Linked DNA regions of Arabidopsis thaliana. The protein of the gene in region 2 purifies or fractionates together with the protein of the main gene of each other region. This does not show direct contact. Each region holds a gene or a part of one and is shown on either strand. Other genes may lie near its edges.

Region 1 (4,263 bases), about 17 Mb from region 2:
CGGTTACTCCAAGTCAGACCAATCGGAAGCGGAGGAGGAACTTTAAATCTGAACAAAATCAATTACAACGGAACGATTTCGTATCTAAGACTCGGATCTGACGGGAGTCTCAAGGCTTACTCGTATTTCCCAGCAGCTACGTATCTCAAATGGGAAGAGAGTTTCTCATTCTTCTCCACTTACTTCGTCCGTCAATGTGGCTTGCCGTCGTTTTGCGGCGATTACGGTTACTGCGATCGTGGGATGTGCAACGCGTGTCCTACACCAAAAGGATTACTCGGATGGAGTGATAAATGCGCACCACCTAAAACGACGCAGTTTTGCAGCGGAGTCAAGGGTAAAACTGTCAATTATTATAAGATAGTCGGTGTTGAGCATTTTACTGGGCCTTATGTTAATGATGGACAAGGCCCAACTTCTGTGAACGATTGCAAGGCCAAGTGCGATCGTGATTGCAAGTGTTTGGGTTACTTCTACAAAGAGAAAGACAAGAAATGTTTGCTTGCTCCTCTGCTTGGTACACTTATCAAAGATGCCAACACTTCTTCTGTTGCTTACATCAAATATTAGTGTTTTTTTGGGAAAGTTATTTACCGAATTCTTTTTGAATTCTTAGAGATTTAATGAATAATCGGTGTGCTTGTAATGATCCACCGTTGAATATATTGTATTACCTTAAAAAAAAGCCATCAGATGTATTTACTATATATATATAGTACCTTTGAGAATCAAAATACCATGTGAAGCATTATCATTATTTTGTTGCCTCTGACAAGAGTTTTGTAGTCCACTGGTCCTCCACTTGGAATACCGCTCACTTGGTTCTTAATTCAATTGACTACTGAGGTTTGTAGATGGTCGTTGGGACTCATACTGTCAAAAGAACAGCAAAAATTTTGTCACTTCTCCAACTCATTGGGCCTTTAGGCTTTGTCATAGCCCAATAATTCTATCTTAATCGGACAAACCGTGTGGTCCACTTCCCTTCGTACATATTTTTTACAAGTTTTGTGGTCTTACTTTTTACTTTTTAGCATTACATGGGATAAAAAGTGAAAGCTTGCCCAGCAGCTATGCATCCATCAACCATCAAAATCTGACTCACAGTACTGTTTTGGATGTCTGAACTTACATAAAAGATTCGATCATCACAAGATGATTATTGTGAGTTTTAATTTTTTTACTGTTAAAGCTGGCGGAGATGTTTTTATATCTGTTAGCATTATCTCGGAAATTTGTATATATATATACGACAGTCTAGTGGCGGGTCAGATAAAGGTGGAATGTGTAGTCTAGACTTTAGAATATATAAAATTACTTTATGAAGTATATTTACATACAAGACGGTAAAATCGAGAAATTTATATAGCTAGTTTGGGAAGTGTGGGTACTTAGTTATCCAAATATTCACTAATTTGAGTAGAGATCAAAATGGTGATCGGGTAGATTGCAATCTTGAAAGGATTTTTAGATATATTTTTACAGTTTAAAGTATTTAAACGAGTACATTCTATATTTAAAAACAAGTGTTTAAAGTATGAATCCGATTGGAGAATCTAAATTTTCTTTTGTCAAAAACGATGGTCAACTTTGTCTGAACAATTTTCATGAGATTAGTTATACAAAATTTGTGTAATAAAAACGGATTAACAACAATATATATAATTAGTGTTTTACTCACAACTTTTGTATATACGATAATTTTCGAAAATTCTCAGTAGACATATCTTATCCAAATCATAAATGAGCCATTGGTTGATCTGTATAACGAAGACACGATTTGCAGCTTAGGACCATTCAAAAAAAAAAAAAAAAAAAACTTAGGACTTTCAAACGAATACAGCCCAACGACCCAAAGTTAAGATCTTATATATACACCTAAAGGATATAGAAAATCATCTCACTCTACTACTCAATCTCAGTAAACATAAAGAACACAACCATGCTTAGGTTTGATTACTTACTAATCACGGCACTTGCCATTTCAACTGTTTCGGTTGTCATGGCCCAAGTCCCTCCCGAGAAACAATTCAGAGTGCTCAACGAACCCGGCTACGCCCCATACATCACCGAGTACGACGCGAGTTACCGATTCCTCAACTCACCGAATCAGAATTTCTTCACAATTCCTTTCCAGCTCATGTTTTACAATACAACTCCTAGCGCCTACGTGTTAGCTCTCCGAGTCGGAACGAGGCGTGACATGAGTTTCACGCGTTGGATCTGGGACGCCAATCGCAACAACCCCGTCGGAGACAACTCCACACTCTCATTCGGCCGAAACGGAAACCTTGTGCTCGCTGAGTTAAACGGCCAAGTCAAGTGGCAGACTAACACAGCCAACAAAGGCGTCACCGGATTCCAAATCTTGCCCAATGGAAACATGGTGCTACACGACAAACATGGAAAATTCGTTTGGCAGAGTTTCGATCATCCCACCGATACACTCCTCGTCGGCCAATCCCTAAAAGTTAACGGAGTTAACAAACTCGTTAGCCGTACATCTGATATGAACGGCTCCGATGGTCCGTACAGCATGGTGTTGGACAACAAAGGCTTAACCATGTACGTTAACAAAACCGGTACGCCGTTAGTTTACGGGGGATGGACGGATCACGACTTCCGCGGTACCGTCACGTTCGCCGTTACAAGAGAGTTCGATAATTTAACGGAGCCGTCAGCTTACGAGCTTCTCTTAGAACCCGCACCACAACCCGCTACGAACCCGGGTAATAACCGCCGGTTACTCCAAGTTAGACCAATCGGAAGCGGAGGAGGAACTTTAAACTTAAACAAAATCAACTACAATGGAACGATATCGTATCTGAGACTTGGATCCGACGGTAGCCTCAAGGCCTTCTCGTATTTCCCTGCCGCGACGTATCTCGAATGGGAAGAGACTTTCGCTTTCTTCTCCAATTACTTCGTCCGTCAATGCGGTTTGCCGACGTTTTGCGGCGATTACGGTTACTGCGATCGAGGAATGTGCGTCGGGTGCCCTACACCGAAAGGTCTGTTAGCTTGGAGTGATAAATGCGCTCCACCTAAAACGACGCAGTTTTGCAGCGGAGGCAAGGGTAAAGCTGTCAATTATTACAAGATAGTCGGTGTTGAGCATTTTACTGGGCCGTATGTTAATGATGGACAAGGCCCAACTTCTGTGAACGATTGCAAGGCTAAGTGCGATCGTGATTGCAAGTGTTTGGGTTACTTCTACAAGGAGAAGGACAAGAAATGTTTGCTTGCTCCTCTTCTTGGTACACTTATCAAAGATGCCAACACTTCTTCCGTTGCTTACATCAAATATTAGCGAGATTTATAAACCGAAACCAACGTGAATTCTCATAGATTTAATGAATAATTGGTGTTGTTATAATGCTTCACCGTTTTTGTTTTCGTAGACTCGCGTATTATGCTCAGTCCTAGTCAAGTATGATATTATCAAAATAAAAATGGATGATATTGATGTTCTTCAGATTATCAAAATTGAAATTAATAGTCGATCATTATAATGCGTCCTTTATACAATATTCAATTAATGCTTTTGTTTTGTATAAATAACAATGAGACAACTCGATATTGTTGCACATTTCATAATTTTCTGTTGGTTAATGATTATGCCGTGGGACCATTTTTTCTATGCATACGACTGATTACTGAGATTTTTCTTTTCTTGGTTGAATGAGTATCTGCAGGAAAATTAAAAACTCAAATTTATAAAAAATTAGGAAGAATCATATCCTAGGAGAGTAGGTAGGTAATTGTTGTTTTAAATATAAACAAAGGGAATACTTCTTTTAACCACAAAAGTTATGCTATCATTTTAGAAAGAAAAAACTATTCAACCAACCCTTGAATAATGGATATTCACCTAGTTTATTAGAAATTTTCTAGTAACGATTGGTCAGTGCCTCAGTGGCAGCCAAAAAGGAATATCCTTAATCTTATTTAATTTTGACAACAAATATTTAATACACTCCAATAACATTAGAATTCTGTAGATGACAAAACTTTAAATAAGTAAATGCAAGCGTCCATCGCGGATCTTTGGGATTGGGACCTCCATAGATTTATTTGTCTGGTTCTATTTGAGAGAATCATATTTACAAAATTTAAGGTCCATTGGGCTTTATTTATGGGCCTATTAATTATCGATTTATCCACATTCTTCTTTTGTTTGGTTTTCATCGTTTCCAATTTCCATGCACAAAGAAAACGCTCTTATACGTAAATATATTGGTATTTCTACTAGATCATACTTTA
Region 2 (3,671 bases):
TTTAGGGCTTCGGAAACAGTGACTGGAGAGAGGACGGGAAGTGGTGGTGACGACTTGGGAGCAGTGGAATGGGAATATAGCTGATTAAAGGGTTTGTGGGCTTTTTAATGGGCCTATCGGACCTTACTATTATTCAACTTTTCATTGGCAAAAAAGGTAAAAGAGAAGTATTTAATTTAGCCCATGCACAATTAAATACAAGATCTGATCCGTTTACATTTCAAGTGTTCGACCAAATTTATAAGAACACTCAAGCATAACATATGCATCATTAATACAAGCCAACGTTACATAAATCGGAACATTTGTATTAGAATACTACTACTACTCATTAAATTTAATCATTTCGTATCATGTTGAGGTAATCATTGTCCGGCTCAGTGGTTCTATTGACTAAATATGAATTTCTTCGCTTCATGTTTCTCAGAGAGACTGTTTGGTGACCTTTCAAATGCCTTCAGATCCTCAATTTTGTACCAACATAACGACTGCATGGAAATAGTGCATAAGGGTTGAAATCATACTTTCACTAACATTCACTATAGTTGTAATGGAGCTTATTGGCATTGGGATCTTTAAATCACTTTATTATAGTCACACAAATTTTATTTGGAGCTACGTGTCATAATAAATCCAAATACAAAACTGTGCTTTTCTTGTCCCTAAGCTTTACAAGGAGAAAGTGGAAAGCCGCAAAGACACTTGTTATCGACAAAAGCACTAGCCGGGAACTTTGTCGATGGAAGCTTTCCGCAAAGATGGTTTTGACTCAAGTTTAGTGTCTGCAGTCTGGTCACCGTCACCGGTACCTTCCCAAATACCAAGTTCCTTGACAAATCCAGGGTTTTCAAGAAGATTCCAAACTTTAGCTTCCCCAAGTCGAACTGGAGTTTGTTCCCCGGTGCATGGAACTCCACCATAAAATCCATCTGGTTAAAAAACCTTATTGGACTCCCTGAGATCTCGTTTTCCGAAAAATCAATGTGATGGTAGAAAGAGGTGTCTGCTGGCATCCAATGGTCTAAGCTCATTTTGATCCCACATTTTGCAAGCTTCAATGAGTAGATGAACTTCGACAAGGTCACCCATTCGGGGATTGTTTCAAGGTGAAATCGGTTGTACGAAAGATGTAGATATTCGATGCCTAATGAGTTCAAGACAGGGAATGGACCGGTAAGCAGATTGTGGGAGAGATCAAGAAAGATAATGTTGGTCAGATTGGCAAAACTCATCGGCACGACCCCTGTGTACCCATTCCTAGAGAGATTTAATGCGGAGAGAAGCTCGAATCTCGATAAATAGTCCGGGATAGTCCCCGATAGCTTGTTATGGCCCACCTCAAGGGTAGAAAGAGTCGGTGCAAGAGATGCAATCGATGAAGGAAGGTTTCCAGAGAATCTGTTGCTGGAGAGATCAAGAAATCGAAGTTGCCGCATGGATTTGAATATGTCTGGGAAGATGCCAGAAAGGCGGTTACCGTTGAGCTTGAGTTGGAGTAAGCTAGTTAACTTAGACATCGAACTTGGGATCGAACCGCTGAACCGGTTTCCCGCCACACTCAAAATTTCCAAATTACTTAGTGCACCGATGTTGGCAGGAAGGGGACCAGAGAGACGGTTATTCTCTAAGTAAACAGTCCTTAGCTTTGGTAATTTGAAGAGGAAGTGGGGAAAAGATCCAGTGATCTTTCGAAGATTGGTGAGGCGAATCTCGTTGAGGTGATGGAGTTTGGCGAGCAACGGTGAGATAGTGCCGGAGAGAAAGGTTTCACCAACATCCGTATTTCCGTCTAATGCCATCATGGTGACGCGGTCGCCATGAATCGTAGGGAGGCAAAAGATACCGTACCAGGAGCAGCAGTCAATATCTTTCTGCCATGAGCTGAGAATACCCGAAGGATCTTGGGTTATACCCGATTTGAAAGCTAAAAGACCCGCTTTGTCATCAGGATGACATGTGGCAGCTCCCGTGGAACTTAAACACCGGAGAAAGATAACAAAGAGGAAGAGAGGGAAGGAACAAGAGTTCATGGTGTTTTGTTGAATGAGAGAAGTGACTGAAGTGTCGTCGACTCGAGGTCTGATTTCATTTCTATTCATTTTCAAACGTGTTTTTTCTTGCATAGTTAGTGGTGTCCGTAATTACAGCATGACAATTATCATTTTATATTCCCATGACAGGCTTAATCAACTCTCTGTCGGTAAAAGAGATACTCCATGATATAGACCTTAATTAACAAAATAAAGAGATCTGATATCAATGTGAATCTCGATCTTAAGACTTGACCACATGTCATTGGAATGGTAAGCGTGATATTGGTAATCCCTCTTGTATATCTTATTGACCTGTGATTTTTTAAGTATTAAATTAAGCTGCGAGATTTTGTTCAATATATTTTGATCTTATAATAGTATAATGCCTGTTCCGTAGAATACAAGCAACACGATTTTGAGGCATGGTTTGTTATCAGAGTATTGGAGAGGTTGTTTTCATATTGTTTAAGTGTGAGTTTAGAGATTTAAGACGTTGGTTTGTTTAAGAGATAGTCGCAGAATCTCTATAATGGTCTGTCTAATCGATTTACTTCTTATGATTCATTTCCTCAACCAATTTTCTTATGCGCTTCTTGTCTTTCAGGTTACTCCATTGGAGCTTTTTGAATCTTAGTTTGAGAGAGAGAAAGGATTGATCATTATATTACTGATTAACCTTAGTTTTCGACAGGAAATGCTCCTCCCGCCATAGGTTCATTTTTGGTTTATATTTTTGTTCAAATTTATTTGTTGGCTTATGAACATTAAGCTTTTGGATTCATTGTACTTTAAGAAATATTCTAGATCCAAAAAATGAATCATCTAATTGTTATTGTGTTCGTTATTGCTTTGTGTTCTCGTTAGAATGAAGGTAAGGGTTGTAATACTTAAGAATTTCTTAATGAACTCACTCGTGGTAGTATTCTCAAATTAAGTAAAGTGCACATCCAACCATAAGTAATATGTAATTTGAATTTTTGTTTTAAGTTTTAACGGACTAAAATTTTCAAATTAGGGGGAAAATTATAATTCAAATCCAAATCCAAATGGGTCTAACGGAATAAAACGGGGTATTTTAGTATTTTCGTATCAACTAGCTTTAGAACACTCACTACAAATATAATTTTCTGGTTCCATTCATTTCATCACCGACTCAAAAAATACTTCGTCTCTACAATTCAAATTATCAAATTCTTCGGAATCAACTTGTTTCGGCTCCAGCCGGTGATGAATCTGGGGATGAGAAACGAAATTGGGGAGGAAATCCTTGTCACCGCCGTCAAGAGGAGCGTGTGATTGACTCGGTTTAAACCCTCCGATATTACGCAAACAATCAGGTATATAATAAACCCAATTCTGATCGATTTCAAGTTTGTTTTTGATTCATCGGTTGTTTCGTTTACTTCATAATTCTCTTCCGATTATTCAGAACATAATTGTGGAATTGAATCTTGATTACAAATCCTTGTGATTAAGCAAAATAAGGTTAGGAATCACAAACCCCTTTCTTCGGGTTTCTTTGTTGATCCATTTATAGTAATCAATCTCTTAGCAATTTAGTAGAATCAGTGAATTTCGTAGTAGTGTGATGATTCTGATGATGATGATCTTCATTTTGTGTTCGTTTAGTACTAGTTT
Region 3 (6,733 bases), on a different chromosome or scaffold from region 2:
ACAAAATATAGTCACAGGAATCATATTACAGTGAAGACTAAATCCTTTGAAAAGCCTCGAACTTTCTTCATACCCAACATCAAAAAACACGTACCAGAGAGGAAGTTTCAAAAATAAGTCAGATTAGAAGATAAGAACTTCATATATTCACCTGCTGAAATTTTCCGAAAAGAAACATCATTTTTGCAAACGCCATTCTTTTTTCTCCTCACGTTGAAACGACGGGCAGAGAAGAAGATGAATCGCAGGTGCTTCAGTTGAAAGATCTCTTTCGGTGATTGATTCCAAAAAAACGAACGCTACTGCCTCAGCTCCATGACTGGGTTTAATTTGTGTTAATGGGCCTTAATGGCCCTCTAAATTTATAATGGGCCTTAAGGGCCGTCTCCCCCTAATTTATTTCATTCATATTAAAATTAATTTGAAAATTTTCATTGAGTTCCAAAATTAATGAAGTAGACTACTGATTTGTTGATTATTGAAAATTGAAATACTGGAAATTATTAAACAACGAAAAACGTGCGTAGAAAGGTAAAAGCCTTATTATATAACTAAAAGTTGAAGAATCTTTATTCATCAATTGAAATTCATAAAATCAATTGGGAGAGTGCTAAACGAAGGTTCCAAAACAACAACAACAACTTGCCATCATGACTTGACGGTACTGATATCAGAACCGTTTTGAAGGCAAGGGGACAGAAGAAATGAAGTGAGAGAATAATGTGAGAGATTGCGCCGGAGCCAAGGCCGGAACCTGGTGACCGGCTCCTCTCACCGTGACAAAATTTAGTCCACCGGCATAAGTCTCAACCCATCCAGCTACTTGACTCTTGTGGAACCATGACCTCCACGGTGACTCGACCTTAAGTCCCATCTTTTTTATGCTATAACGTGTAGATGTTACCGGAACTCTCCCATCCGTATCTCCACTATAGCCAACATTGAACCAGTGAACATTAAACTAATTGACAATATATATGAATTTTTCACGTAATTTTTAAAACAGTTAAAGAAAGATATAGATACCTATAGATCCAGATACGGAGGCCACCCGTCAAAAGCTTTTGTATGATGGGAATCATGGTGGATGGAGCATCACTCCATCTCTTTATTACTCCGCTGAATCACACCCACAAGATCATATATATATATACTTTGTTCATTAGAAACATGACATTAAACTTAACATACAAAGTCTCTAGCTAGCTATTAATTTTAGTTAGTACCACGTAACGTAAGGAGGACTAACCTGCAAGGAGAGTACGGATAAGGAAGGTTGGTGACGTTCGCATGGAGTGCAACCTGCACATCTTTCCGGTTAAAGTAATTCTCGGCATAACTTTCAGTGCATGGATCGTACCCGGCCGGAAACTTGTCCCACAAATCCTAAACCATCAAAAGAGAAGAATTGGTAAGAAAAAGTAAGAAGAGAGATTATGGTAATTACATTATGTTACAATGATACTATATTGTATTGTAGATTACGTACGTCAAAAGTAAGGAGACGAGGAGACACGACGATTTTAGGTTTTCTTGGAGAAGATGACAACAAAGAGGAGAGGCAAACGGGAGTGTAGATACTGTATATATCGATATCATTGTAAGCATCCATGAACCCTTTGAAATTGTTGTAGCATTGTTCGGTCTTGTTGGTGGTATCTTCCTCAAAACTGCACGAGCCATGGATGCTGGTGTGGACCTCGTCCGATATTATAGCGTGGCTCCATGCGTAGTCCACTAGTCCTGCCATGTCTGTTGCCTCATTGATCACCGCGTTCCCTATCTGCAACATCAAACGAATACCTTTTATGTTTACTTATAGCACAAGAAACGTTGCTTCCTCGTTTCGCAAGTAACCTTACTAGTAGTATACATATATATAGAGTGCATACCATGAATCCCTTGAGATTAATGCTAGAGTCTTTCGTAACCTTCTTGTTCCTGTCGTAAATTACCTCCGCGAGCTGAGGAACATAGTGACCTGAGAAAAGAAGATCAAAAGCATGTGATTCAATCTTTGTTTTATATAATATTAATATACAAGATTAATTCTTTTATATTAGGTGATATAATTCATAAATCAAGAATTAAAATCGGATAAAGCACTTACCGGCGTAACTCTCGCCAGAGATGTAGAACTCGCTGGATCGGAACTCGGGGAATTTCATGAACCAGTTGATCAGGAAAGCAAGAGAGTCCGATGCAGTAACTTCATCTCCAAGCTTTTGAAGATCCATTGAGTTATTGGTATACGAGAACCCAACCCCAACCGGCGCTTCCAAGAACAACATATTGGCCTCTGCACAAACATTTTTTTTAATGTAACCACGGTTAATATTAGTATACATGTTAGCTAAAGAATTCAAATGTTTCTGATAGTATGGTAATAATTCATTTTACCTTTGTTCCAAGAGAAATGATTGTAGGTAAGTTTGCCACCGTTGTCGTGAACAAGAAAAGGGCCTAGTTCTTGTGCAGCTCCATAGGCTATTGATGAGCAACCCGGTCCTGCATATTTTGGATTTTAGTTAAACTGATGAAAATAATTTAAGAGTTTCACCAAATATGTAATAATACAATTCACTAAAGAAAATTGCTATTTTCAATTCCATCGCTAGATTTGTCAAGAAAATCCAAAACTAAACAACTAAATTTGTCGAGAAAAAATAAAATTAATGAGACTAGCTAGCTAGACGTCAGTATTTTGTCCCGAGTTGTCTATCAAGATTCAAATATCATTTTCGTATACAGAAATTAAATAACTAAAGATTTTGCTATTGCTCTTGATTACATTGGATTCGTGTGTACCCTTCAATCACGCAAATCCTATAAAGGTAATACCTCATTATTAACAAATTTCAATCTTTCTGTTCAAACTAGACATGTACACAACTCCACATTATTATTAGACATAGCTTTTTGTTTATTTCTAAGTGTATAATTGAATATTCAACATCTTATCCGATTTCTAGCCCCAATAAAAAAGACTAGGTTGATATTTCTCGTATCCCTAAATATCCTAATATTGGAATGAACCGTGTGGGAAAAAAGACAAACCGTATAAAGTAAATTCGTTAAATTGAATGTACAACTACCGAGAGAAAAAGAAGAAACAGACAAAAGATCTTTACTCACTCTAGAAACAAGATTTGGACATTGAATGTTACACAAAAAGGACACTGATTGAATGATACAAGTCCAATATCTGTCAGAGAGCCGGACCATATACGACTTCGTTGATATTTTTTCCAAATATGTTGTTGGGTTATAGTATAGTGTTTTATTTCACTGAATCTTCACGAAAAAATATGATGTATTTAAACAGGTTAATTTTAATTTTTGTGAATAACTTTTGTTCACTTAATTAGATCGAAGCTCATTTTCAAATACAACTTGTTTTAAGCTATGGTTTTGAGATTTCACGTTAAGAAAACGAGGACTGGACTATATTTGTCCCGAAGAGGCAAGAACCTACTCGTTCCACCGTATACAGACTACAGATTGTTGAAGTGCGTTCCACAAAACGAAATATTATTAAAGTAGGCAATTAAAATTTGTCGGCATTCCCAACTGTATCAGATTTGTTATCACTTCTCCATCAAGCAATAGTAAGGAACAAAAATGTTGAATAGTATCAGTGTATCACTTAATGGTGTTTCTGGCTATTTTTATCAAGCCATACACGGCATCTATAAGTTACAGATTATTAAGAATAGCGATATATAACTGTACAAACAATAGACTACTTTAAGTTTTGGCTATTTGATAGACTTGTAATTTTTGGAAAATTTAAAACAAAAACAACTGCATCGAAACGACCCTTTACTATCTCGTTGCGATACAATTACAGTAAAATTTTATTGTTACTGAAACGAAAGGAACTGCTTGGCAAGTTACAAGGCAGGGTAAGGAGACAGACGATGGAGTTTGGTAGGACAATGTACACAACTTGATGTTTTCTAAGAGTTAGCTATATAAATAATTAAAATTTTAGTCCAAATTCAATTATGTATCCAAGAAAATACAACTGCCGAAAACATTTCTCTATGTTTAGTGTTTTTTCTTTTTCTTTTTCGTGCAAGTTTTATCTATTATTTTCCCAACATCACGGCCTGCAGGCACAGAGTTTTGTGGTCAATACGTGATGGTGTGATTAGACATATGTATTAACCTAATTACCATGGCCCACGAGGCACGAGCTTGAGAGTTCATTAATCTTTCATTACACTGATTTTTTTATTGCAAACATAATCATCACATCATCCGTTTCAAAAAAGGTGCTATCATTTTAAAATTGGTAAACATATTTGTAAAACCGCAGAAACAATGAAGTTTCGAATGAAAATTCCAATTGAGAACAATGATAAGTTTGTATTACTACTTCAAATAAAATATACTTTATGTAAATGAGCGAGAGAGGAAGAGAAACTGACCTCCATTGAGCCAAAGGACGAGAGGACGACGAGAAGAGTTTTGTTGAGCTTCGAAGAACCAATAGAAAAGTGCCTTTTGCTTCTGTTCAGGCCCCAGATTCACGTAACCGGCGTAGTGTTTGAAGTTAACCGGTGGTTGGCCGGGCAAACCGGTTACAAGGTCATCTTCCTTCCTCCCAGAGGATGAAATTGTTACCTTCTTCTCCGGTTTCCTACCACAGGCTATCGCCGGTAACACCAGAATGCACAGTAGCCAAAGTGCGTTCTTCTTCATCGCCAAAACTCTTTCTCGTCTCTTTTGTTTCTTTTGTTCTTTTCAATTATTTATCGAAATGAAGAGCAGATGAGAAAACGCCCCCACTTCTTCTACTTTATACTGTCTTTTTTTATATTAAAAAAAACTTTAAAAGTCTTTTATTTTTCATGAGATTTTTTTTTTGATACTCACGTGAAAATGTTATAACAATAAACACATTTCATAATCATTTCCTTGTAATGTGCCTCCACGGTCTCCGATAACATGGTTGGTTCACTACCAATTTTCTCACCTTTTACAGAAAGATGGAATTGAATTTCAACGCTTGAGATGTCATCATCGGAGACTGAACCACATGGCTATGGAGATGGAGCCATCGGCAAATTAAATGCTTTCTTCTTTATTTTTCTTAATTCAGAATTTCATCTCCCAAAACAAGGTTTTATAAACCATATAATCAAAGTTGAATTCAACACACAAATTGCTCGTACTGTTTAGAAATCAATTAAAATTCATTAAATTACATGTGTAGTACTACCGTAGAGCTTTAAAACAACAGCATTGTCATATAAACAAAGCTTATGTTTTATGTTGATCTCAATGATAATTTCCAAAGAAAGTGGTTTATTCGCAATTGTCTCGGGAATAATTTATTGATGCTATAGTCACCTAGAAGAGGCCAGAGAAATTGGCGGCTTAATGAGAATCATTTATTGATGCTATAGTCACCTAGAAGAGGCCAGAGGGCCTGTAAGGCCCAAAATACATTAATAATGAGGTTAATGAAATTTTATATATATCAAAGGCCCGATACTTTATTGATAGGCCCATATGTTTTCTAAGCCCAAATTGTTCGAAAACAATTATTCACCAGATATATGCAGATAACCTAAATTCAAACAACAACGGCTTCACCGCCAGGTTTAAAATAGTACAGTAGTATCCAAAAAAATTCTGTTTATTTGAATTACTCACTATTAATATTCTTCCAATTCCAATTTCCACACGTATAAATTAAACAAGTTGTTTGACAAAATAAAATAAAGTGTATAACAAATAAACAAGAACTTAGGTGATCCGTCACTACCCACCTGTCAATTTCTCTTTTATCAACAATCCTCAAGTCTAAAACCCTAATTCTAATTTTCCTAATTTTCTAGTTAATCCCCTCCAAAAGATTCGTCCTTTCAAAAGACCAAAACGAAAACATAGCAAAACACGAGAATAAAGAGCCACACAAATTTAAAAGACCGTTAGAAAAGAGCAACGAACTTTTTTTAGCTCACCAAATCAAACCCAATTTCACATTGAGAGCCAAACACGAAACTTATGCGTCTTAAATCCTTCTTCCCTCATTTCACATTCTTCACCTACTAAATTAACTAACAACTTCATTATTTCTTATCTCTCTTTCTCTTTCTCTCTGCAAAAAAATTATACACACTCTGTTTCTTTGTTCCTTCTTTGTCACTATGAATCTTAGTTTTTCTTCTTATAATCTCACGGCTACTGCCGTGTCCTCTTCTTGTTTCGGAAGCGACGAACTTCTGGTTTCAAGGAGGCTGTTTTCCCTGAGAGATGTTCAGATTCTTGAGCTCTTTATTGCCTTTTTCGTGTTTGCGACAATACATTCCTTGCGCCAGAAGAAACACCAAGGGATGCCCGTTTGGCCGTTGGTTGGCATGCTTCCTTCGTTGATATCCGCGGTACGAAGCAACATATACGAATGGCTGTCTGATGTTCTTATCAGCCAAAACGGGACATTCCGGTTTAGAGGTCCTTGGTTTAGCACCCTCAACTGCGTTGTTACCTGCGACCCAAGAAACGTTGAGCATCTTCTCAAGACCCGTTTCTCTATCTACCCAAAGGGTTCTTACTTCCGTGAGACCATGCAAGATCTACTCGGAGACGGGATTTTCAACACCGATGACGGAACGTGGCAACGACAAAGGAAAGCAGCAAGTGTCGAATTCCATTCGGCTAAATTCAGACAATTAACCAGTCAATCATTGCACGAACTCGTGCATAATCGACTTTTGCCGGT
Region 4 (4,213 bases), about 17 Mb from region 2:
CAAGTGGGTCGACTCAGTGGTTACCCGTGGAGTTCAGCATCTTGTGGTTGTTGCTAAAATATTTGGTTCTTGCATAAGAACAATTATTGTCCCATAAAACTTCCGGGAAGCATTTCTATGTGTGAAACATTGGTACACTTGAAGCTGGTCGAGGTAGGCATTGATAGTTTTGACTCCGTTTCTCTACCTCGTCTTGAGACTATGCATTTACTATCGGTTTGGTTTTCGAGCGAAGCGGCTCTAGAGAGGCTTATCTCATCCTCCCCAGTTCTTCAAGTTTTGTACATTGAAAAAGTTTGGAATGTGGAAGTTATACGAGTGCGGTCTCAGACACTATATAGCTTGAGAATGCGTATTTGGAAAAGAGATTTAGATTGGAACAAAGATTTAACAAAAATTGGGCTAGTGATTGATGCTCCTAGGCTTAAGTCTCTGAATCTTCAAATCCACCGGTTTAAAGACCTTGTGCTGAATAGTGTATGTTCTCCGCTCAAAGTGGATATTAGTATCTCTAAAGGAGAGTTTAATCCTATTAACTCATTGACGATGAAAACATTGCGTACATTTATTGCTTGGATATCAAATGTCACAAATCTTGCACTCAATTACTGTTGTCTAGAGGTATGTATATTTTTGTAACTATTCATCCTGAATTAATCTGTCTCGAAAACTTATTACTAATTTATTCTTCTTGGTTTTTGCTAGGCTATGTATGCTTACTCTAGCTCGGAACCATTGCCTCAGTTCTCTAACTTAACCCATTTGGAAGTTTCGATGGACTCCTCTTGTTTAAAGTTGTTACCAACGTTTCTCGCAAGCTGTCCAAACCTAAAATCTCTAGAGTTGGTAATTTTATTTTTATAAGTAACTCTTGAATTACTTAACTAAACTATACATTCTCATTACGTTTTTCGTTTCTTGTCCTTGATATTATGTAGTGGGTTCACGATCATCGTCTAGATATATTGGATATCTCAAGATCAACTATGCCTAAGTGTCTGCTAATATCGCTCAAGTTTGTTACGATATACAGCACAGCTATGATATCCAGCTCGGTTGAGAATCAGGTCGAAACCGAGCTTGTCAAATACATCCTGGGGAATGCAGCAGTTGTCAAGGAGCTTACTCTTCGATTCATTTTATGGGCAGAAGAACACAGGTTTCAACTTAGCAAGCAAATCCTTGCGTTTCCAAAGCTTTCTTCTGCTTGTCAAGTCTTTCTTCATTCGTCGTTTTTTTGAACTTGTTGTGAGGATCAAGCACAAGTGTAAACGTTATGCTTCTTAGGTGTTTTTAGTTTCCACACTTGTTCCGGTTAGACATCGTAATTTTTAAAAATTTTAAGATTTATGTGATTGGTAAATTCAAGATGCCGCAATATTATTGATATCGTAGATATCTTTGTCAGCCATTATTTGTTTGGGTTTCGTTTGGTGCACATGTAAAGAATAAGATACATGGATCTCTGCTACCCATAGATACGTGTACTTAAACTTTTAAATGAAAAAGCCAAATCTTGGCCCCTCGCAGTGGCATCTAAGAAAAATCCACAACTACATTTTTTCTTCAAAACTTAACTAAACTCACAGCTTCAAGTCTATTTTACCAAGACGGTGCTGTGATATTTTACCAATCCTCATTATCCTCTCATAGGCAGAAAATCCGGTTTCAAGTCTTCTAGAAAATGATAGTATTAAGATAAATGCATAAAAGGATTAATCATTTTCTTTCGACAAGAAAATAAATTATATGATATTCAGAAAGCAAAATAGTTATGACGAATATTCGATAATCTGCACTAGACAAACCTTATCCAAATCATAAGTCGCCATCGGCTCCATTGTACAGCACCAATTTGCTTGATCTCTTCTTCTTTAATTAGTCAAGTCGCAATTAGCAACTTTGACTTTTCAAACGAATACGGCCAATATTACAAAGCTAAACAACTTATATATACCACAACACAAGATACATCTTCTACATAATCATCTCACTCCTTTACTCACACAAGAAAACAAAATCATGTCTCGATTTGCTATCTTAGTAACCTTGGCACTTGCCATTGCCACTGTTTCGGTGGTTATAGCTCAAGTCCCTCCGGAGAAACAATTCAGAGTCGTCAACGAAGGAGAATTCGGTGAATACATCACTGAGTACGACGCAAGTTACAGATTCATCGAATCATCAAACCAGAGCTTCTTCACATCACCATTCCAGCTCTTGTTTTACAACACTACCCCTAGCGCCTACATCTTAGCTCTCCGAGTCGGACTCAGGCGTGACGAGTCTACCATGCGTTGGATATGGGACGCGAATCGCAACAACCCCGTCGGAGAAAACGCTACACTCTCACTCGGCCGTAACGGCAACCTCGTCCTCGCTGAAGCTGACGGACGAGTCAAATGGCAGACTAACACAGCTAACAAAGGCGTCACCGGATTCCAAATCTTACCCAACGGAAACATCGTCCTACACGACAAAAACGGCAAATTCGTATGGCAGAGTTTCGATCACCCCACCGATACACTCCTCACCGGCCAATCGTTAAAAGTTAACGGAGTCAACAAACTCGTTAGCCGTACATCTGATTCGAACGGCTCAGATGGTCCGTACAGCATGGTGCTGGACAAAAAAGGTTTAACCATGTACGTTAACAAAACCGGTACGCCGTTAGTTTACGGCGGATGGCCGGATCACGATTTCCGCGGCACCGTCACTTTCGCCGTTACAAGAGAATTCGATAATTTAACGGAGCCGTCAGCTTACGAGCTTCTCTTAGAACCCGCACCACAACCCGCTACGAACCCGGGTAATAACCGCCGGTTACTCCAAGTCAGACCAATCGGAAGCGGAGGAGGAACTTTAAATCTGAACAAAATCAATTACAACGGAACGATTTCGTATCTAAGACTCGGATCTGACGGGAGTCTCAAGGCTTACTCGTATTTCCCAGCAGCTACGTATCTCAAATGGGAAGAGAGTTTCTCATTCTTCTCCACTTACTTCGTCCGTCAATGTGGCTTGCCGTCGTTTTGCGGCGATTACGGTTACTGCGATCGTGGGATGTGCAACGCGTGTCCTACACCAAAAGGATTACTCGGATGGAGTGATAAATGCGCACCACCTAAAACGACGCAGTTTTGCAGCGGAGTCAAGGGTAAAACTGTCAATTATTATAAGATAGTCGGTGTTGAGCATTTTACTGGGCCTTATGTTAATGATGGACAAGGCCCAACTTCTGTGAACGATTGCAAGGCCAAGTGCGATCGTGATTGCAAGTGTTTGGGTTACTTCTACAAAGAGAAAGACAAGAAATGTTTGCTTGCTCCTCTGCTTGGTACACTTATCAAAGATGCCAACACTTCTTCTGTTGCTTACATCAAATATTAGTGTTTTTTTGGGAAAGTTATTTACCGAATTCTTTTTGAATTCTTAGAGATTTAATGAATAATCGGTGTGCTTGTAATGATCCACCGTTGAATATATTGTATTACCTTAAAAAAAAGCCATCAGATGTATTTACTATATATATATAGTACCTTTGAGAATCAAAATACCATGTGAAGCATTATCATTATTTTGTTGCCTCTGACAAGAGTTTTGTAGTCCACTGGTCCTCCACTTGGAATACCGCTCACTTGGTTCTTAATTCAATTGACTACTGAGGTTTGTAGATGGTCGTTGGGACTCATACTGTCAAAAGAACAGCAAAAATTTTGTCACTTCTCCAACTCATTGGGCCTTTAGGCTTTGTCATAGCCCAATAATTCTATCTTAATCGGACAAACCGTGTGGTCCACTTCCCTTCGTACATATTTTTTACAAGTTTTGTGGTCTTACTTTTTACTTTTTAGCATTACATGGGATAAAAAGTGAAAGCTTGCCCAGCAGCTATGCATCCATCAACCATCAAAATCTGACTCACAGTACTGTTTTGGATGTCTGAACTTACATAAAAGATTCGATCATCACAAGATGATTATTGTGAGTTTTAATTTTTTTACTGTTAAAGCTGGCGGAGATGTTTTTATATCTGTTAGCATTATCTCGGAAATTTGTATATATATATACGACAGTCTAGTGGCGGGTCAGATAAAGGTGGAATGTGTAGTCTAGACTTTAGAATATATAAAATTACTTTATGAAGTATATTTACATACAAGACGGTAAAATCGAGAAATTTATATAGCTAGTTTGGGAAGTGTGGGTACTT

Evidence for each region.
Region 1: the proteins of AT1G33670 (region 2) and AT1G78820 fractionate together in Arabidopsis thaliana (co-fractionation; one large-scale study listed by BioGRID). This does not show direct contact.
Region 3: the proteins of AT1G33670 (region 2) and scpl35 fractionate together in Arabidopsis thaliana (co-fractionation; one large-scale study listed by BioGRID). This does not show direct contact.
Region 4: the proteins of AT1G33670 (region 2) and AT1G78830 fractionate together in Arabidopsis thaliana (co-fractionation; one large-scale study listed by BioGRID). This does not show direct contact.

What each region holds. Positions count from the first base shown.
Region 1 is NC_003070.9:29,633,448-29,637,710, reverse strand, and holds AT1G78820 (D-mannose binding lectin protein with Apple-like carbohydrate-binding domain-containing protein), read left to right. Parts: upstream 1-1,779; 5' UTR 1,780-1,942; coding exon 1,943-3,310; 3' UTR 3,311-3,615; downstream 3,616-4,263. Other genes in the region: AT1G78830 (Curculin-like (mannose-binding) lectin family protein), read left to right, coding at 1-570.
Region 2 is NC_003070.9:12,200,322-12,203,992, reverse strand, and holds AT1G33670 (Leucine-rich repeat (LRR) family protein), read right to left. Parts: upstream 2,031-3,671; coding exon 663-2,030; 3' UTR 585-662; downstream 1-584.
Region 3 is NC_003076.8:2,655,210-2,661,942, reverse strand, and holds scpl35 (serine carboxypeptidase-like 35), read right to left. Parts: upstream 4,890-6,733; 5' UTR 4,708-4,889; coding exon 4,434-4,707; intron 2,509-4,433; coding exon 2,401-2,508; intron 2,300-2,400; coding exon 2,111-2,299; intron 1,982-2,110; coding exon 1,893-1,981; intron 1,784-1,892; coding exon 1,490-1,783; intron 1,387-1,489; coding exon 1,250-1,386; intron 1,120-1,249; coding exon 1,027-1,119; intron 930-1,026; coding exon 671-929; 3' UTR 506-670; downstream 1-505. Other genes in the region: AT5G08270 (C5orf35), read right to left, coding at 152-196; AT5G08250 (Cytochrome P450 superfamily protein), read left to right, coding at 6,162-6,733. UniProt on the Arabidopsis thaliana protein: Probable carboxypeptidase.
Region 4 is NC_003070.9:29,636,318-29,640,530, reverse strand, and holds AT1G78830 (Curculin-like (mannose-binding) lectin family protein), read left to right. Parts: upstream 1-1,757; 5' UTR 1,758-2,022; coding exon 2,023-3,390; 3' UTR 3,391-3,713; downstream 3,714-4,213. Other genes in the region: AT1G78840 (F-box/RNI-like/FBD-like domains-containing protein), read left to right, coding at 1-46, 79-621, 706-846, 939-1,241.